Cricetulus griseus: one gene and its partners. The protein of the gene in region 2 binds, or shares a complex with, the protein of the main gene of each other region. Links are inferred from orthologs where the notes say so. Each region holds a gene or a part of one and is shown on either strand. Other genes may lie near its edges. The genes, in order: Ccnc, Med13 and Med16.

Evidence for each region.
Region 1: the proteins of Med13 (region 2) and Ccnc are in contact, whole or in part, in a cryo-EM structure (PDB 8TQC), measured with the Homo sapiens proteins. The link is inferred for Cricetulus griseus from reciprocal best matches to the Homo sapiens genes MED13 and CCNC. Residues at the interface, in NP_005112.2 of Homo sapiens: Tyr1342, Ser1630, His1631, Val1732, Lys1733, Thr1734, Thr1736, Phe1738, Gly1739, Pro1740, Gly1741, Ala1743, Arg1897, Met1898, Ile1901, Asp1905; in NP_005181.2 of Homo sapiens: Gln7, Gln13, Trp14, Leu16, Gln19, Lys23, Gln26, Lys27, Arg75, Tyr76, Glu144, Leu145, Asp147, Cys148, Ser221.
Region 3: Med13 (region 2) and Med16 share a complex: the UniProt entries of both Homo sapiens proteins name them as parts of the mediator complex. The link is inferred for Cricetulus griseus from reciprocal best matches to the Homo sapiens genes MED13 and MED16.

What each region holds. Positions count from the first base shown.
Region 1 is NC_048595.1:119,719,166-119,726,595, forward strand, and holds the start of Ccnc (cyclin-C), read right to left. Parts: upstream 4,878-7,430; 5' UTR 4,712-4,877; coding exon 4,680-4,711; intron 3,685-4,679; exon of another isoform or gene 3,550-3,684; intron 2,395-3,549; coding exon 2,288-2,394; intron 1,286-2,287; coding exon 1,201-1,285; intron 1,038-1,200; coding exon 968-1,037; intron 1-967. UniProt on the Homo sapiens protein: Component of the Mediator complex, a coactivator involved in regulated gene transcription of nearly all RNA polymerase II-dependent genes.
Region 2 is NC_048600.1:99,545,751-99,552,700, forward strand, and holds part of Med13 (mediator of RNA polymerase II transcription subunit 13), read right to left. Parts: intron 6,008-6,950; coding exon 5,917-6,007; intron 5,791-5,916; coding exon 5,576-5,790; intron 5,322-5,575; coding exon 5,125-5,321; intron 3,465-5,124; coding exon 2,548-3,464; intron 1-2,547. UniProt on the Homo sapiens protein: Component of the Mediator complex, a coactivator involved in the regulated transcription of nearly all RNA polymerase II-dependent genes.
Region 3 is NC_048598.1:100,699,310-100,706,259, forward strand, and holds part of Med16 (mediator of RNA polymerase II transcription subunit 16), read right to left. Parts: intron 6,875-6,950; coding exon 6,767-6,874; intron 6,600-6,766; coding exon 6,430-6,599; intron 4,305-6,429; coding exon 3,873-4,304; intron 3,407-3,872; coding exon 3,301-3,406; intron 1,306-3,300; coding exon 1,150-1,305; intron 490-1,149; coding exon 281-489; intron 193-280; coding exon 1-192. UniProt on the Homo sapiens protein: Component of the Mediator complex, a coactivator involved in the regulated transcription of nearly all RNA polymerase II-dependent genes.

The DNA of each region.
Region 1 (7,430 bases), on a different chromosome or scaffold from region 2:
AAGAATGGTCCTTTATTTAATAAAACTATTCAAATACCTTTAATTAAAAATCTGTAATCTAAGGGGGGCAGTGGTGATGCCTTTAATCCTAGCACTAGGGAGACAGAGACAGGAGGATCTCTGTGAGTTTGAGGCCATCCTGGTCTATGCCTTAGTTTCCTCATTTATAAAATGGGATGTAAATGTTACAACTCTAAGGGGAAAGACTTCCCTTATGACAGTGTTGACAGTTCTGAAGAGAAGTACCCCCAATGGTGGTATCACAGCTGAGGGGAAAGGCTTACCTAATGCAGGCATTGTCAGCTGAGGGGGAAGGTTTCCTCAATGAAAGTACTACAGCTCTGAGAGGAAAGGCTTCCCCCATAGAAGTGCTGCATGTCTAAAGGGAAAGGCATCCCGGCAATCAGGAGCCAAGGCATTCTACAAAGTCACGCTGCACAACAAACCTCACACAAGAGATTTATTGGGAGGGAAGGAAAACCCAGGAGGGTGGCTGCCTCTGCTTGGATGAGAAGCAGTAGGGAACTGAGTAGAAGGCAGGCTTTATATAGGGTTTCTTGGTGAGCAGAGAATTCCAGGGTAGTATGGAATTGGTGGGATTTTTGTGGCCTGATTTTGTGCAAGCTCAGGGACTGGTGGATTCTTTTTCTTAATCTTGGTCTCAGGTTATTTAAGAGTCAAGGTGTTCTCTCCCTGGCTCTGGTCTCAGATCAAGTCAAGGTCAAGGCCCTTTTACCCTATTGCTATATACTCTACAGTTATAGGATTAAACAAAAACTTATAGTCTCATTAAAGCATCTGATACATAGTAAGTGCCATATTTATTAAATATATAAAATTACTTGCAAGATGTATGTATTATCTTGTATAAATTACCCCTTAAGATTATCCATACAAAGGCAATATAAAAAAAGATTAACTGTACATAATATTATAGGTTGATGAAGAGCAAAAAATTGTTTTATACCTCTACTTTGGATGCCAGAAACACACATGTAGGAGCCATTAATACAGGATCTATACTTTTCAGAGAATACCTAAAACATGATTAGACAAGAGTTAAATTATGTCCATTTAGAAGACACACTGGGTAATCAGGCAATCATAATTCTATAGCAATCAAGTGACTTACTTATATATGGCATATGGAAATCAGAAGAGAACCTCAAACAGGCTAACAAAAAAATAAAACAGCCATACCTGGCATAGAACCTCTTGAAATAGACTGTAGCAGTAGCAATAACCTGTTGTCTTAATTTAAGATGTTCACCTAATGCTTGGATGACTAAAAGGGAAATAATAAAATTTTAATGTTTCACCTGGCACCATTATAGTAACATTAATAACATTAACTTTTAACAGTAATTTCTACATGTTAGAATTATGTCCACTCATAGCTAGGCACTCTCTGACACCCTCTGATCCACAGCTGCCTAAGACTTGCAAATATAGCAACATGCAAAACCAAGAAATAGAAACCACCTACAAGTTATCTTGCTATAAGGAAGTTGACTATCAAATATTCCTTTTAATACTTTTCAGATTATTTTCATAAAAAGTCCTAACTCTTGCAGAAGACCCAAGTTCCATTCCCAGCACCCACATGGTGGCTCACAATCATTTGTAACTCCAGTCCCTAGGGATCCAAGCCTCCTTGTCACTATATAACATATAGTGCACAGATACACATGCAGGCAAAATACCCATACATAAAAAAAAATAAAATTTATTTTAAAAAATACCAGGCAACAAAGCTATCCCAGCAGAGTAAAGGTCTCCTGACTAAACCCCCTTCTTTTTTTTTTGTTTTTTGTTTTTTGTTTTTTGTTTTTAGAGACAGGGTTTCTTTATGGCTTTGGAGGCTGTCCTGGAACTAGCTCTTATAGACCATACTGGTCTTGAACTCACAGAGATCCACCTGCCTCTGCCTCCCAAGTTCTGGGATTAAAGGCATTCACCACCACCACCCCGATTTAAACCCCCTTCTTCCTAATGTAAAATTATAAGGTAAAAATGACAACTACAGGATGCCAATTTAAAGAATTACTTATTTTTACTTTGTCTTAACCAACCTTAAAAGAGGCCGCACTAGAAATACCCAAGGACATTAGCTAACACTGTGCTTCCAACACATAAAGTGCAAAAAGTGTTACCAAGCACACTAAAACGATAAATGTATAAATAAGAACATTAACTATAGACTGCAATAATCCATTGAAAATTACCACAAACAAGTCTCAAAGGTGACCAGCTATACTATACTACTTCAACCAACTTAAAATTGTACCATTTGTAAAAAATATTTGTAACTTCCAATACTCTTCTTCTGAGAGAAATTTTAAGTCCTTCTGGCGCTCTTTCAACAGATCTTGTTTATCCAAAATCCACTGCAAACTGGAAAAAGTAAAGAAGATAATAAAACACAGTGTAGAACGCCAACAAGCAAAAGCACCTAAAACTTTTTAAGATTTAACAAGCTGATCTATTCTAAGAAGTACATTCCTTTTTTTCTCCTCTGAGACAGGGTTTCTCTTGTAGTCATGGCTGTCCTGGAACTCACTTCTGTAGACCAGGCTGGCTTCACATTCAGAGATCCACCTGCCAACAACACCTCACCCCCATCACTGCTAGGTTTAAAGGCATGTGGTAACATACCCAGCTTCTTCTTCTTTGGAGGTACATCCGTAAAAGACAATGTCTGGATAGAAATATATCAGAGGTAGACAAAGCACTAGCCTATCTCTGAAATACACACACACACACACACACACACACACACACACACACACACACTCACTCACACACACACACACACACACACACACACACACACACACACACACACACTCTTAGCATTAATTCTTCTAAATAGGTCTCTAAAATATTGAGTAAATTATATAAAACAATGAAAATCTTGAGTCCTTCAACACATGTTCACCCATTTTAAGCAGATTCTGCCTCAGAGGAAAATAAATATTTTTCTAATGAGATTTTTTTTTTCAACCAGAATTTTCACTATCATCCCTCAAGTTTCACAGTCTTGTCGACAAACCAATTTAATCCCTTTGGTTCTTGACACTACTTGTTGACTGTTTTGCTGACTATCTTCAAATAATTCTGTGTCAGTTTGCTGTGTTTGACTCTCATTCAGTCTGGTCACTAAATAAGGATGTCATTTTAAACTCTCAGGGGAGTCACTCATATGATTTCTCTAGCTTTTCAGCAGCTCACCTACAGTCTCAGCAGGAAAAAATAGGAGAACTTGAGGGCAAAGAATTGGCTTTAATCCCAGCACTCTGGAGACAGAGGCAGGCGGATCTCTGTGAGTTAGAGACAAGTCTTGTCTACAAGAGCTAGTTCCAGGACTTGGGCGCGCGCGGGGGGGGGGGGGGGAGGATATGTCTCTTGATGTTTTTCAAAGGCTCTCTACTTTTTTCCAGACTTCTTTCATACTGTCATTTGTACAAAGAGCCAGCACACTGGTTCTCGAAACCCTTGATACAAAGGCCCTTCCTCAAAGATAGATTCTTACTATACCCAAAGACTTACTGTCTGTTCCAGTATTACGTCACTGAGACAGACGATGAAGGCAGTCCAAGTGCCAGAATTACAGGCTCCAACTTAATTCCGCCTTTTTGAGTCATCTCCTTCTGTATTTCAACTTCATCTAAAACATCTCAGTGACTGTAAACAACCAGAAATACTATGTCGCATAGTGATGCTCCACGAGCAGCTCATCTCCCTAAAATCACTTTGTAGCAAGAGAAAACATGCTTTCCAGAAACAGGTTTACAAACTCACTGTTTCCTTCTTCCCCGTTCTTGGGGTAAAGAGGAAAAGGAGCCAATCCAATTCACAGAACTAAAATTTCGTTAGTTTCTTCACCCTAAGATTTACTTAAGCTACGATGTCTTGTATTAAGTCCCGTTCAGTTTTTAAGTATTCAGTGAAAAACCTGCTCAAAGCTTAGCCAGATCACACAACCTCGCTGCACGTTTAACCAATGCATTTAGAGAGAAATGTCTCAAATATTACTTTAGCCCTTCCATGACCACTGACAGGCAGGCACCCGAATTCACTCATTTAAATGGTTCAAGGAATAGATAAAACCTGAGAAATACACACTTTTAACGCAAAACAGAAGACACTGGCTAATGAATGAAAATGCATACATGTTGAGAGCAACTGCGCTCTCTATATTCTAGGGGCATAAACGTCTACTGAGAAGCCGGGAAGTGGTGGCGCACGACTCAGGAGGAAGAGGCAGGGGCAAACAAACCAACAAACCAAAAACCGGATCGACAATCTAGGCAATATTAGATCTGCAAGTAAGGCGAATGACAAGAGATTGTAACGTCTTTGCTCTCAACAAGACCTAGCAAAAGCAACCCATACCCGTCCGAACAGGCTACAACGTGCCTGTGCCCACATCATCCCACTCACAGCTAACCCCCAAATACAAACTGAAACAGCCTCAGTCTTCCGTCGGACACCTGTCCTCTCGCCCATCCTTCAGGCTCACCCAGCCCCCGAGGCTCCGAGGCCCGCCAACAAGCTCGCCTAGCTTCCCCGGGAGGGCTCGCCCACACTCCAAGATCCGCAGGCCCTAGGGAGTCGCAGGCCCAGTCCTCCCCGGGCCCCAGAACCAGTCCCGCGGGAGCAAACGGAAGCTCACTCACTAGTGGGAGCTCTGCCAGAAGTTCCCTGCCATGGAATACTGCGGGCCCTGATACAAAAGCACCAGCCAGCAGAGCGGCCCACGGAGCCACCATAGACCCAGTCCAGCCGGGCGCGCTCCTCAACCAGGCTGGCTGGGCTGAGCTCCGCAGCGACCGCCGCCGGAGGAAGAGAACAGCGCCGTCGTCGCCTAGACGCCGGTCCGCAACACGGAATTGCGTACACCGGTTCCGGATGACAAAAGTTCCGGCCCGCCTTAGCGCCGGAGAAAGCGAGCAGACAGACACGAGAGAGGCCGGAGGCCGGAGACCGGAACTAGAGCAAGCAGAGGCGGAAGCTCGCGGTGGAGAGCCGCTCTCCCGAGAGCTCCGCCCTAGAGCAGGCACCTTCTGGATTTCTGCTGCTTTGCAGTTTTTCTTCTGGATCCGTCTAGGCATCTTGCTAACCCACCTAGAATAGTACTGTGGCATTGTAAGAAAGCGTAACATATGTGTGATTGCTCGTTTTCCTAGCATTGGAAGGAGAAATAGATTTAAGCGCTCTTAGTGACTTCTGCCGGAGCTGAGCCTAACGAGTTAATGGGTTTTCGTGTGGACATTTTAGAATAGCAGCAATCTTTTAATGTCAGAGCCATCGTTTGTCCACCTGAAAACATATGGGCGTATGAATACACATCTAGCCACACGGATGCACATGCATGCCCCAAAATTGAAATACTACAGAAATGCAATAATTTAGTTTTACAGAACGAGCAATAGCGAGTTTCTATTATTGTAACATGCACTCAGTACCTCACTTCAGTGGCTGAGGCAGGGACAGTAGGAATTTCAGGTCAGTCCTTGTTTCCTGCCTCCAGAATGCCAGGATTAAAGGCGTGTGCCACCATGCCGGGGCCTACTCTTAGCTTCTATTACATAAGAAAGCCTAAATTACAGTACAGATGAAAAAGAACTTGGTTTTAGTTAACACGGTGCTGTCTTGATATGAGAAAGAACTTCTCTGTCTGACCACTAGCTCCTGATACATAAAACAGTTATCTCTGCAGTGACCGATGATTGTGTTGATTTACAGTACTAGTTCATACAGTTTGGGGGGAATTTCAGGGTTCACTTTTTGGATTCAGTTAGTTGGGAATGGCTGTTGAAGAACAAAATATGTATCAATAAAAAATGTTAGGAGAGGCTAGACAGATGGCTCAGAAGTTGAGTGTGTTTGTGGCTCTGTCAGAAGACTAGAGTTAGTTCCCAGCACACACATCAGGTGGCTTATAACCACCTGCTGCAATGGCCAGCCCCAGGGGATCAACAATTTCTAGCCGCCATGGGTAGCTGCATGTACTGTGCATGTCTACACACACACACACACACACACACACACACACCTTTAAATTTTATTTTTAATTGAAATTTAATTATATTACATCATTTCTCTCCTTCCTCTTCCCCCTCCTTGAGTGGATTGACAGTCTGGTTAGTTCCGACCCCTATGTAGTATGGGGGTCAGGGGTCTAAGCATAACCAGCAATCCTGGCCAGTTTCTAACTGGGATTAACTTGAGAGGTGGGACTCTGGCCCAGGTATGTTAAATGCTTTTGAAGGGGAGAGGTGGTTGGAGCCTTAGCCCACGAAGGAGATCTTTGTTGAGACCCAAAGTTCTGGGAGCCTGGGGGGCGGGCAGTTTTTTTCTGGATAGTAATTCTATATCCAGAGTCCTTTCCTGTGGCATAGAGTCATCAGGTTCTCCCTATTTCCCAAAGCCGGAATATTTAAGGAATTCTTTAGACCTTTATCTTATGGCCATTAGATTACATTTTCCTATTGTGCATTCCTTGGAGGGGGGCGTCGTGTGTGTGTGTGTGTGTGTGTGTGTGTGTGTGTGTGTGTGTGTGTGTGAGTGTGTGTGTGAGTGTGTGTGTGTGTGTGTGTGTGTGTTTGTGTTTATCGGTTTGTTTTCAGGAAGCCTCTGTTTTACAATCCCAATTATTTATTTATTTTTATATATTTGAATTACAAACAAGATTGAATTACATGACGATCCCAGTTCCCTTCTCCCTCCCTTCCTCCTCTACCACCCCACCCCCAACTAAAATCCTACCTGTCATATGTCCTTTCTTCTAATCTACACCTGACTCAAAATTTCTGCTTCCTTGTGACCTCTGCATCCTTCCTTTTCTTCCCTTCTCACTCTCGTAGCTTCCTCCCCCCTCTTCCCATGTTCTCAATTTGCTCAGGGCACAATCCCAATTTTTTACAATGGACACTCCCTTGTCTTTGTTGATTAGTGGGCTTAGCCACAGGGAATGCATAGAATTGTAAACTCTGTATTTTTAATCTCAAAAGATAAGTGCCCACATCTTTCCTTTCCTTAATACAACCAGACATTTAAAATGGGCATCAGTGAGTAAAGTTCTAGATGAATATGAGTTGCTTGTCTGTAATCTTGATACCCATCACCTGTCTGTACTGCAGCCTGTGTGAGAGACTGCAGGAACCTGCCATGTGGCTTAGCTCATGGCTCGATGGCAGCTTCCAGGAGACACAACGAACAGCCAACAGGAGAGACTAGAAAGCTGTGTTTGATACCATTTGTGTGTGTTTAGAATGTTTTAAAAGCTTTTTCAGGTCTTATATGGATGTAGGTGCCAGATGTTGGGTGCCATATTTGGAGACACTCTATTTGGCATCCTTATCTGTGGCTTCTGCTTTCTTAATCTGGGTGTGGCAGATCCATGGTATAATGGCAGCTACCTTCCA
Region 2 (6,950 bases):
GTACCTTTTGTTCTGTGATAATTCTTCCTATGGAGGAAGGTTGGACTAGAGAGACGGAGTGAGGTTCCAGTTAGGTAGGAAGAGTAAGTTTTAGAGGTCCATTTAGAAACATGATGAGCACAGTTACTAATATTGTATTCTGTACTTTATAACTGATAAAAGATTTTAAATAAGATAATCAGCTTGGTTTATTATTTCTATAATGTATCCATATAGCAAAGTACCACACTGTACTCATGTGAAATATATCTGAATACATGGTAAAAATATATGAAACTGTCTATTTAAATTTTTCATCTAGATAGAATTATTCTGCATGTACACATGTGTATATATTAATAATAATGTTAACCATAACATAAAATTTCTATTTTAAACCAAATGTCTCCCCAAATTTTAAATTAGTTTCTCAATCTCATACCCACGCTAATCAGGCTGACAGAGATGATTATCAAGTTCTTTAACTACCTCCACGGTGCCACATTCAGTGGTCTTGTCACACTGTTCCTGTTCCCTTACAAAGACATTATACATATATTCACTCTCATTCTATATTCTCACACATGAGTACCCTACTTCCTGGCTTCTTCTCAGATTCCTTCCTGACCCTCTCTCCCCTAAAATTTCTTATCCAGCTCCAGGCTTTTAAAAGAAAAGGGCCCCATATATCCCAGGGTGGCCTTGAACTTACCATGTAGCCAGATATGACCTTGAATTTCTGATTCTTTCCTTCACTTTCCCAGTGCTGGTATTACACGTGCACCACAAATGACATACCATAGTATTTAATACTGATAACCCACATTAAAAAAAAAAAAGACATTTCCAGATTCATCAGTCTTCTGAATTTAAAACTATTATCTCCAAATATGTACTTGACCTCCTCCTATTTTCCTCCTCTGTAGTTAGCACCAACATTCATACAAACCATGGTTAATGCTTCATCTTCTCTTACACGAATCAGCACAATTCTGTAGGTCTATATTTCCATCTAAACTGGAATCTACTACCACAACTTCTATTGTTTTCAGTCTTTTCCAAGCTGTCATCCTCACTGACTACTGTAACTGGCTTCTCCCTAATTTTTCTTCTTGTACTTTCACCTGCCGTCCCAGGATATTTTTTATGCAATAGCCAGTGATTTTTTTTTCTTAAGCAAAAAAGACAGTGTGGGACTACTTTTCTATTAAAAATAGTTGCTACAGCATTTACAATAAATTCTAACAGCATGGTTCAAAAAGTGCCCACTTCCAAGCTTAACTACCCGAGTTCAAACCCTGGGTTGAGTTGGTACAAGGAGAGAACCAACACCCTCAAACTGTCGTCCTCTGACATCCAAATGTATGCCATGGCACACATACCCAAACACATACACGCTCACACACAAATTAAATAATTTTGGTGTTTCAGACACTCTTAGGCTTCATCATCTAATCAGTCTGACCATCACTCAACATTAATACTGCCTATGTTTCTCAAACTTATCCTGAAAACTATGTCCTCAAGGACTTTGAACTGCATTGTCTACTAGCACTGTTTCCCCAGTTAACTATATTGTTCACACTTTTCCCACTCCAAACAGGACTTTCCATAAATGTTCCTTAACCTTCGCTATCATCTCTGACCATGTTTCTTAAACAGCACATAAGGTTTCTCCCATGCAAACATGTTTTGCACTGATTTCTCTTTAATGCACTTATAACCAGTACATAATGCAAGCATGTATTGTTGTTGTTTACTATCTATCTCCTCCACTAAACCATAGGCTCAAAAAGAAAGGAGATTCTGACATAATCAATCAGTGCCTTGGAAATGAGAAGCCTGATCCAAACAAACAGTGGTGGGGCCCAAAAGGCTGACTGATGGTTTCTGAGGCCTGACACCAAAGGCTATCATCTGGCCTACATATATGTACGTAAACCCAAACACATGTAATTATGCACCCACATACACACAAGCAAAAACCAAACCAAAAAGAAAAAATAAAATAAAAGCCAGAGAATGGTGTGTCTGTTCAACAGTGACCATAAAATAGTGGTCACTGTTGAACAACAAGGTGCTTGGTAAATATTTAATAATATAATCAAGTCATAGCTAAATAGCAAAGTATATGACACCTGAAAAGACAAAATTACATGGCTGAAGGAAACAATAATTTTCTGCTAACAAATAAGCAGCATGCCTTTTAAATTTTTATGTGGCTAAACAATTACAGATGCACAATAACCTATTTTTATTGCTGAAACTTAACTAAACAGCTAAGAAATCTCTATGTTACTGTCTTTTTGGGGTTTTCTGTTTGTTTCTCTGACACAGAGTCCCTTATGTAGTCTTAGCCTCCAACAAGAGATCCACCTGCTTCTGGTGGGATTAAACTCATGCATCATCACACCCAGCACGTTACTGTCTTCACATGACGGTTAAATCCAAATTTCGGCACACCTATTAGGTCTAATTGCTTTTGATATTTTTACCCCCCAGAAAAAAAAAGTCAAAGTCAAATACCTAAAAAACGAAACAAAAACCTGACTTCATTCACAAACTTACCATTTTGTTTGGCCCACGGATGCAAGCATGAGCTTTTGACAAGTGCTTCGTCAACCTTTCCTCCCGACATATTATCCATGAACTGACGTCCATGTTCTAATGCAAGATAGCAGTCATTGCAACAGTCCCGCTCTTCAACACGTACCCAGTTGCTAATTATACCCATTTTGGGAAAAGGATCTTGGTCTGCTGCTCCAAAGGGTGAAAATAAATTAGTGCATTGATCTTGCAGCAGTAATATCAACTCATCAGGCACCTTTTCAGATTCCTTTATGCCTCCATTAACATTTTCTGCAGAGGTAGCCCTGAGAGCCTCAAAACGTTTTTCTGCTTCTTTGCCACAGTCTGTGTTACGTCCTATGATATCAAGTTCATCTTCAAGAAATAATCCTGAATTATTTCCAAATTTTCGGTTCATGACAGCACTGAAGCCACAGGTACACCGATACTGTGCTTCCTGCGTTGGATCTGGAATGTAAACTCCAACATCGGCACCCTTGATATTCATGTTGCAAACACAAATACAGCAACTGTCAAAATTACAGTCTTTAAACAAATTCATAACTGATTCTGAAAGGATGAGGTTTACATAAAGACTGTGTGCTTCGGGGATGGAAGGGACAGTGGCAGGTTCAACAGAATTGAGGGGTCTGCATGTAGATGGGGTGGAAGCTGGTGAATACAAGTCTGAATTTTCATACTTGACTGAACCTTGAGCACTAGCAGGTCCACCAGCTCCACGAGGAGTCCTTGGAGTCCTTGGAGTCCTTGGAGTTGGAAATCTAGGGGTGGATGGAGAAGGGAGAATTCCCGCACCACCATTACTAGGGGGTGCACTGCTCGGAGGCATCCCAAAAGAAGTATGGGTTTGAGGTGTGTAGGCAGGGCCATAATCTTGATCCATATTGCTTCCATCACTGTTGTCACCAAGGTAAAAAGAGAAACACGTGCGTAAAGGAACACATTAGTAATGTGAAATACAACTAAAAGTTCTCCAAATGCTCTTCAGCAAACACTGAAAATTTCCATATGGCAATCACTAGAAGATTACATGTACAACTAAGACTTATTTCAGGTTTATCATGTTCACTATGGAGATTCTTGTAAGCTAACTAGATTTACAGGGTACCCAAGTTCAGAAGTTCAGTTCCCAGCACCCACATCAGGCAGCCCACAACTAAGCGACTGTAACTCCAATGCTAAGGGATCTGATGTCCTCTGGCCTCCATGGCACCTGCACACATGTGTACATGAAGTCATGTTGGGACACACATATAAAATTTTAAAAGTCTCAAAAAATTACAAATGAAGTTTGTATAAAGTTATCCACATCTAAACAACCATATTTACTCTATAAATTTCTAATGCTACAAATACTTGTATCTCATTGACTCTTGTTGCTGCTGATTGACAAGAAAAAAAAAAAAATTCTTAGGTTCGATGGCTCAGCGGTTAAAGAGCACTGGTTGATCTTCCAGAGGTCCCAAGTTCAATTCCCAGCAACCACATAGCTCACAACCATGTACAGTTGAGATTGATGTCCTCTTCTGATATCAAGTTGTACATGCAGATAAAGCATGTACAATTGAAAAAAAATTCTGTGATGGGGGACGCCCTTCAGTATATATGTTTCTCTTATTGGTTGATGAATAAAACACTGTTCAGCCAATGAGACAGGAAGATAGGCGGGACTATCAGATGAGGAGAATTCTGGGAAAGGTAGGCAGAGGGAGCCTGCCAGAAACAGACACTATGTAGACGCCAAAAGTAGTAACAGGTCTGACCATTCTCTGGTAAGATAAGGCCATGGAGAAATACATAGATTAATAGAAATGGGTTAACAATTAAGAGAGAGATAGCCAATAAGAAGCCCAAACAATCAGCCAACAGTTTAATAATTAATATAAGTCTGTGTGTGCTTATTTGGGGCTGAAGAGGCGGGACAAAGAAAACTGCCAGCAACAATTCTGTCTTTTGAGTTGTTTATGTGTACAAAGTGGCGATAGTAATTTTAATACGCAACTGGTAACAAAATGCTAAATTTTATCTGTTACAATGTGAAGTAAATGTAAAATGACAGATACAAAAAATGGGAACAACTCAGTATTGCAAACAAAAAGAAAAAGTACTTTTAAAGTCAAAAAAAGGTCTATGGTTTCAAATAGTTTATCCATGTCTATTATTATCATTATAATAAACAAGAATTATTATTTTATTTTTTATTTATACATAAAAACACATCTTTTTCCAGCATACCTGGTACTTCAACAAAAAAAATGGATAGACCTTGGGTATGGCTGAGCAAGCTGTAATCCCAGCATTTGGGAGACAAAGATAGGCAGATTCCAGAAGATTGCTGGCCTGTCAGCCCAGACAGAACAGCAAGTTTCAGGTTCAATGAGAAACCATGCCTCAAATGAGTAAAGGGGCAATAGATGAAGAAACCCAATGTTTACTTCCCTTTGGCCTTCACATGTGGCTCATAGGCATGCACACCCTACAATGCTATCCCTCTAACAGATACACAAAAACAACTTTTACAAGCATTCAGTATTATAAAAACAACATCAACCATACCCCTCTTTGATGAATGGCATTGAAGGGCCTGAAGGAAGCAAGTCCAATTTTCCAACAGTCCAGCTCTGCCGGTAAATACACTCTTCTGGCAATTTGATAGGAGGCAGACAATGGCTTGGTAGAGTTTTTAAAGGTGCAAACATGGAACATCCTACTAGAACTTGACAATTTTCAGGTTTATAGACATAAGAAAAATCCTACAATATAAAGAATGTAGACTTTCAGTGCCTTATGTTCAAAGTGACTGTCTTCTTTACCCTATTCTTTAAACATACCAAAGTATAAATATTTTCTGTTCTGTTTTTACTGCATTTTACATAGTATTCCCACAATTTAGTTCTCATATTAGCCACAAAGCTAAAATCAAATGTGAAAAAAAATCTCTTGAATACAGCAATTAATCCTATAAGAAAACACAGGAAGGGAATTAATTGTTTGGAAAAATACTTACTTTAATTTCAGAAGGTTTGGGGCTACAGAATCCCTCCTCAACCTCAATTCTGAACTGTGCTCCTATACTAGAACTATTTCCTTCTAGGACAGTTCCTCCAGGTGCTGTATCCATACTACCATATTCTTTATTATTCATATTCATTGGAGAAAATCCCATAATGTGTTGTTCCAATGATGGTGGTGTAGGATACATCTTGTGAAGATCTGCAGTGCCTATATTTAATGAAACACACATTTTAACATAGACTAAAAAGAAGTGAATCTGTGTTTAAACCAAAGGGAATTTTCTGGGGGAGTGAGTTTTCAAATTGAGCTAAAGCACAGATCTGTAAAGCTTACTTATGCAAGATAATGGATCCAGACTTCCTGTCTTGGATTCTTTGGAGCTGGCTTTATCATCTGATCCAGATGCTGATTTTTTAGATCCAGGCTATCAGGAAGGAAAAAAAAAAAAAAAAAAAAGCCAATGTGATCCCACAGTACTAATCATTCATATGTAACTGAAAAGATAAATAGTGATCATAAAAAGTGGTCTTCTGAATTTTATGACCAGAGCCAAATAACATACTAGTTTACAGATAGATCCATCACTTAAGATTTTTTTGATAAGTCTCTCAATTAACAGGAAAAAAAGTATACTCAAGAAAACATAAAAAAAGCAAAAATAACCAGTAACTTATGAACCAATAAAAGATAAGAGATTTTAAATTAAAACTGTAATTCCAGTTTAGCAAAAGAGACTCAAAGTATCTGTCCCTTTATTTAAGGTATTAAAATTTCCTATATAATCAATAACTCCTCTTAATTCTTCTTTATATTTAAACCTTGTTTTTAAAAAGCTGTAAAAATATATTTATAGGAATAGCTTTTTTATGACTCAGGGAGACTTCCTAACAAGGCAACAAAATTCCTAACAAACCAAATTTTAGTGTCTTCCTCGATAACCAATTTTTTTGTGAGATTTTGTTTGTTTGTTTGTTTTGGTGGGGGGGAGGTGGGGTAGTTTTCTTTGTTTTGTTTTTAAAAATAGGGCCTCATGTCACCTAAGCTGCTTTCTCATTTTTATATAAACAAAGCTAAGTTTGAAACCCTGATTTTCTTGCCTCCACATCCCAACAAACAGGGGTTACTGGCATGTGCCACCACATCCAGCTCTCAACAATATGTTTACAAATAATATTAGCTCCATGTGTCACATTGAACAATTTGTGAGTAAAGCACATATATAAACAACTTTTTCTTACCTTAGAGAAGCCACAACTGATGTCTGTATGCTAGCAAAGAGAAACTCTGTCTATACGGACAAAAATATTTAAGGCTCTTTCCCAGTGAACAGTGCCCTAGTAGACACTACACTGGAGGATATAGAGTAA
Region 3 (6,950 bases), on a different chromosome or scaffold from region 2:
CTTCTGGCGAGTGTATTCCTCATGCAGCCGCTCCACCAGGCTCTGCACCATGCCGGGCTGCACATGCAACAGGATGTCCCACCAGTCATAGCCGGTCACCATGCAGTACTCCAGCAGGAACAGCAGGTGCTGTAGAGCCAGCTTGGGCTCCAGTGGGTGGCCCAGGGATGGAGAGATTCGCAGCATGCTGAGCTGGGGGGAGGCTGTGCTGAGGGACTGCTGCTCACCAAAACCTCTCCCCAACCGCTCCTCTGCCCTCCTGGTCGGTCTGGGCACTCACCTTCCCATGGTTGTCAATGCCCACCAGGGCCAGTGATGTCCAGGACAGCTGCATAGCTTTGAAGTGTACAGCTGGGCCTGTGGTGCGTGGACGCTTCAGGGTGGGCTCATCCAGTGAGCGTGGGGTTGAACTGTAGAAAGCCGCCATAGTCTGCAGTGACAGTCGATGTACCATTTGCACGCTGCCATCCTGGAAGGCCAGCACCAAGCCTGGGAGGAGGGGAGTGCAGTCAGGGCAGGCTGAGCAGTGCTGCTCTCTCTGTCTCCCTTAGTGACCTCAAGATCCAGAGAGCCCCAAGCTCTGTCCCAGGGTCCTCCTCAGGCTCAGCCACTGCCCCCACCTTTAATGCATTCTCCCCATCATATAGGAGTGAGCCAGGAAAATAAAGACCTAGAAACCTAGAGGCAATCCCACCTCACAGCTGAGCAGCTGAGAAGGCACCTGACTGACTTACAGGCAGGGACTTAAGGGAGTCGAACCCTGGATGATACATATATACTTTTGTGATTATGTGTCTGCTCTGCAAAAGGGTTTCTTCACCCCATCGTCCCAACTCTCTGTCCGTTAGCCACAGCTCTTTACATATTGAGCACAGCTTTCTACTAACTGGTTACAGCTGCACACATCTTAAGGACTGTAACATTTTGTTAATCAGCTACAACTCTACATATTAAGGAATGCAGCTTTGTGTTAACTAGCCACAGGTCTTTACATATTTAGGAGCACAGCTATTTGGCAACTTTCAGGACCCTTGGTTCTGGGGGACAGTCCACATTCATCACATGAGACTGGGAACCCACAGCACTCACAGTCCACTTCCCACCCCACACATCCAGGTGCTGTGCTGGTTGCTCCTGGGTGCAACATACCGAGGCCAGGATAGAACTGGGTTTCACTGGCCACCTTGAGGTCTGTGTTGGTGAGTGAGATGGGAAGTTTGGGCAGTGCCACAGCTGATACACGGTCCAGGTCATTGGTGGCTGACAGGATCCGCCACTTGAGGATCATGGGCTGTTTGTCGCCAACTGGTCAATTGGGTCAGGAAAAGAAAGGGGTGTGGGAGGGGTACAGAGAGAAGTCCACCTCAGGGTAGCAGGGCCACTCCTGTCCCGATTTGGGAAGAGGACTAGGCATAGTCAATCAGAGCACTTCTCCTCCTCCAGCCAGTTGGCCTGAGGGTGTTACCTGACCTGAGGACCAGTAGGATCCAGTCCAAGGATTTTTCTTGTCTGTTTTGAAACAGGGTCTCATGTACCCCACACTGGCTTGAAACCTCTATGAAGCCCAGGCTAGACTTGAACTCTTACCCTCCTGGCTCCACCTCTTTGGTGCTGGTATTCCCCACTATGCCCAGTTCATTACCTGCTGGGGATGGAGCCCAGCCCCTCTAAGACCAGTTATTTGTGTTTTTGTTTTGTTTTTCAAGACAGGGTTTCTCTATAGCTTTTGGAGCCTGTCCTGGAACTCACTCTGTAGATCAGGCTGACCTTGAACTTACAAAGACCCACAGCCTCTGCCTCTGCTGGGATTAAAGGCATGCACTGCCGCCACCGCCACACCCCCCCTCCAGTCTGAGACTGGTTATCTGTATGTCAGTCCCCATCTTTGAAACCAGTCCTGACCCCACAGGGAGCACCAGCAAGTGTCACTCCCAAGGGGAAACTGAGGCCAGAATGGCTACAGCCAACTGTTTGGAGCAGTCAGGACTCCTTGTGGTGAAGGGTGTTCTCTCACAAGGGGCATAAGAAGCAGAGGTGGAGACAGATGAGTGGTGCATGCCAGTCTTACCAGCTCTGGAGAGGCAGGGGTAGGAGGACCACTGAGAGTCTGACGCTAGATAGGGTTGGGGCTATAGGGTACAGGACTTTTAAAATTCAAACAAATGCCGGGTGGTGGTGGCGCACGCCTTTAGTCCCAGCACTAGGGAGGCAGAGGCAGGCGGATTTCTGTGAGTTCAAGACCAGCCTGGTCTACAAGAGCTAGTTCTAGGACAGCCTTCAAAGCCACAGGGAAATCCTGTCTCGAAAAAAAAAAAAAAAAAAAAAAAAATCAAACAAAAAAGATCCACAAGTCAGTGGGCAATGGAACCTAGCGGCTGGTATCCAGGGCCTCTTGGTCACATCCCTGCCTTGACCACAGCCAGCTCCTGTCACCATGGTCACCATGCCTTGGCTTCCCTACCAGGCACCACCCACTGGGCTGGAGAACTGGGCCCTGGCTGGTGTGTTCACCCCGGACCAGGCACACAGCAGGCAGCATGTGCACAGAAGGGCCAGTGGGCATGTGTGGCAGGTGCTGCCAGCCAGCCAGGCCAGCCTTCGAGCCCAGACATCTGCAGGAAGCACAGTGGGGATGCTATTCACATTTAATTACTCGATGGCCACAACAGGCAGTTTATGTAACTGCAGTGAGTTGAGTGGCCTCTTGACACAACTTCATTAGGGCCGCCAATTAAGTCCTCTAAGCCACCTTTTAAGCCACCGGGGTCCATTAACTCTCCCACCTCCCATCACACTTTCCTTTCTGAGCCAGGCTGTTGCAGGGCAGGCTCAGGGAAGGAAGGTGGGGGTCTAGGAGAGCAAGAGGGTTACAGGAGGTGCTCTCCAGAGATGGGCTGGTAAAGCCAGCAGACTGCACTCTGCACTGGGATTTCTAGAAGACTCTGTGGCTTTTAAAGTAGATTTAAAAGTAGATGTGGCTGTGCATGCCCTCTTGACAGCTCAGCCCTTTTTCTCTGCTCCAGCTGCAGGACCTTTGTACAGGGCATTTCCTCAATCCCGGGGTTTCCAGGCTGTCCTGCCTAGGGAACCTTAGTATCCCACTCTAGCCAGGAAGCCAACAGCCTCCTGGGACTTTGGAAATTAATCTGAGAAGAGCCTGGGGCTCAGTAGGCAGAGGCAGGTGTGGTACTGAACATTACAGGCCAGCCAGGGACACACAGAGAGAGACCCTGTCCCATATAAACCTCAAATCCCATGAGCTAATGGACCCTGGTGGCTCACGAACCCTGGCTGACTCACCCACAGGAGAGATCTGCTGGAAGATGTTGTTCACAGGCAGGCCCTCCTTCCGCAGGGACCAGCACTCCACCAGGCTGCTGGTCTGGCTGGAGGCACATAGGAGCACCTGGGGGTGGGGTTCAGTGAGGAGTGGGGGCTGACCCCAGGGCCCCTACCACGGGTGCCTCATTTGCATCCTCCAGGGATGGGTCTACAAGATATGCCAGGAGGCACAGGGCCTCATGAATTCACACAGTGAGAACCCAGGTGACCCGTAACCAGTGGGATGACAGCCCCAAAGACAGGTCAGGGGACTCAGGAGAGGGACTCAAGCTGAGGATTTGCCTGGACCATCCAGAGCCTGGTTTCACTGTGGGGTTGTGAGGTAGGATGGTGAGAGGCAGGGAGAATGGGAGACACCATGTCAGCTTTGAAGGTGGATGAAGGAGCCACAAGCCAAGGGGTGCAGGGCCTCTGAATGCTGGCATGGCTGGGCCACCAGGAAGGACCTTTCCTGCCCGACCAGGTCCCTGTCAGATTCTGATCTCAGGACAAGTCATGGCCAGCTGGGCTGGGGATGAAGCTATGCTTACCTGCTCAGACATGTCTCGGGCCAGGAACTTGAGGTGTGTGATGGCGGGGAACCTGTCCTTTCGGTTGGGGTCGGTGGTGCACCGCATGAACAAGGAGGGCAGGATCTCAGTATCTATTCGGCACTTCTCGCTCACCACACTCACGCACACCTTGTAGAATTTCACGGGTGACGCGCTGCTACCGTCTGCAGCAGCCACCACAATGTTCCCACCGCCTGTGAAGGCGATATCAGCAAGTGCCACTCGGCCTCGAAGCCGGCACAGGCTCTCAGTGGATGTCAGCACTTGCCCGCTCGGCTTCAGCAGGGACACAGTCACTAGGCCACTAACTGTCACCGCAATCCAGCCCTCCATGGGCTTGCCACCAAACAGCGTGAGTGAAGGAGAGAATTTCACACGGGAGAACTTCTCCCCAAAGCTGGAAGCACCCGACTGCAGGAAAGGGAAACAGAAGGAAGGGTTTGCTCAGCTCCTTGGGGTCCACCTTCTATGGCCCCACAAGCACCGAGCAACAATTCGGCAAGAGCACTGCATGAAGGAGGCCTCTCTAGCGCACAGTAATGCACAAGCCGTGTACTTCTCAGGGGGTTAAACTTGGTTCTTCACTTTCTGTTGTAACCTCTCTGAGTTTGAGGCCAGCCTGGTCTACAGAGTGATTTCCAGAACAGCCAGGGCTACAATGAGGAAGCCTGTCTCAAAAAACTGGAAAGTGTTTGAGTGGTTTCTCTGGAGGTATATATGTGCATCTCATGGGTGAGAAGTCTGTGGAGGTCAGAAGAAGGGGTTGGATCCCTTGAAGCTGGAGTTACACGTGGTTGTGAGCCAGCATATGAATGCTGGGATGTAACCCAGGTCCTCTGCAGAGGGCAGAGGCAGCCGGTGCTCTAACCACTGAGCAACCTCTCCAGGCCCTACATTAAATTTGGGAGGCAAAGTGTCACTGTTTAGTCCTGGTTAGACAGGGACTGGCTATGTAGACCAGGCTGACCTTAAGCTCAGAGCTATTTGCCTCCTCAGTGCCGGGATTGGTAAATGCCACCAGGTCCGGCCTTTTTTTTTTAACTATATAAAAATGTGTTACATTTGTTTATGCTGCATTTGTTTAACTATGTGAAGATGTGTTACATTTGTTTTGCATTGCCTGCCTAAGGCTGCTGATTTGTCGGAATAAGAAGCTGAAATAGTCAATTGCTAGACAGTAGAGGGCTAGGTGGGGCTGGTGGGCAGAGACAATAAGGAGGAAAAGGAAGAACAAGAGAGAACTCGGGAGAAAAGGAAGGAGACGATAAGCCGGGCTTTGGTGGCGCACACCTTTAATCCCGGCACTCAGGAGGCAGAGGCAGGTGGATCTCTGTGAGTTCGAGGCCAGAATGGTCTACAGAGCGAGTGCCAGGATAGGCTCCAAAGCTGCACAGAGAAACCCTGTCTCGAAAAACCAATAAATAAATAAATGAGAGAGAGAGAGAGAGAGAGAGAGAGAGAGAGAGAAAGAGAGAGAGAGAGAGAGAAAGATGCCTGGGGTTGGCCAGCCAGACACAGGAGAAGCAAGAAAAGTAGGACATACAGAATGAAAGAAATGTAAAAAGCCCTGAGGCAAAACACAGATGAAGAGAAACAGGTTAAAATAAGTTATAAGAGCTAGTGGGAGGGCTGGAGAGATGGCTCAGAGGTTAAGAGCACCAACTACTCTTCCAGAGGTCCTGAGTTCAATTCCCAGCAACCACATGGTGGCTCACAACCATCCCTTATGAGATCTGGTGCCCTCTTCCGGTGTGCAGATATACATGAAAGCAGAATGTTGTATGCATAATAAATAAATAAAAATCTTAAAAAAAAAAAAAAAGCTAGTGGGAGCCAGATGGTGGTGGTGGTGTGGTGCAGAGGCAGGCAGATCTCTGTGAGTTGGAGACCAGCCTGGTCTACAGAGCGAGTTCCAGGATAGGCTCCAAAGCCACAGAGAAACCCTGTCCAGAAAACAAACAAACAAAAAAAGCTAGTGGGACAAGCCTAAGCTAAGGCAGAGCATTCATAACTAATTGGTCTCCATGTCATGATGTGGGAGCTGGTGAGTGGCCACATGTAGGCGTGGTCTCAGCAGGTGTGTGGAAGCTGCTGGTCCCCAAGGACCTGGCCATGCCCCCTTCCTCAAAGGCATCTACCTCCGAGGAAACAGACATCTCAGATGTCTGTTGGTGCTCACTCCTCACTGGTTGAACTCCAGAATACACATGGATAGGGGAATTGTGGTCGTCATTAAATCACAGTAGAGTGGGGTCTGAAGACCACATAGCAGTCATCTGTAAAACAGGACACCATTGGATGCAGCTGCCTGTGGAACAGGGTCACTCTATAGGGACCATCATCCCATCACTGAAAGGGGAGGCTCAGGGGGACAATAGCTGTAGTTAAGCATGTTCTTGGGGACAGGAGCTCACGGATGGCAGTTACTGACAGGTATCCCACGCAAACAGGCCTGGCACATGACAGAGAATTCTGGCAGCGGCAAGGGAGAGACAGGTTGGTCACTCACAACTCCGCCACACGTAAGTCCCCTCACCTTCTCCACGTGCAGGGCCAGTTTCACGCCGTTGTGCAGCCAGGACAGCGCCACGATGGAGTCCCCCTCCACCTGGCTTCCCACTGAGCTCTCCCAGCTGTTGGCCAAGTGGTCAGCCATGCTCCAACATTTGATATGCCCGTCAGCATCGGCTGACAGGAGCCGTGAGCCTGTGGTGACAGAGTGCCATCAGGAACCCTCCTGAGGGGCAGGTTGACTGCCACCCCCTGCCCCCACACTCTGGACTCCCAGTGACTCTGGATTTAGGACTGAGAACTGAAGAAGGCAGCCCATGCTGCTCAGGGCTCTGGAATGAGAGTGAACTTCGTGGCATCACCTGACTGGTCCCATTCCAGGCAGGTGATGGCCTCGCTGTGGCCAGAGTTGACAGAGTGCACTTCCCAGGGATGTTCGGTGTCTAGGATATGGATCATATGTGTCAGGTCTGCGATGGAAGGAGAACAGGTGAGGTCGGTGTGGCTCACAGTGTCCCAGGATTCCCACGCCCATTTCCCCTCTCC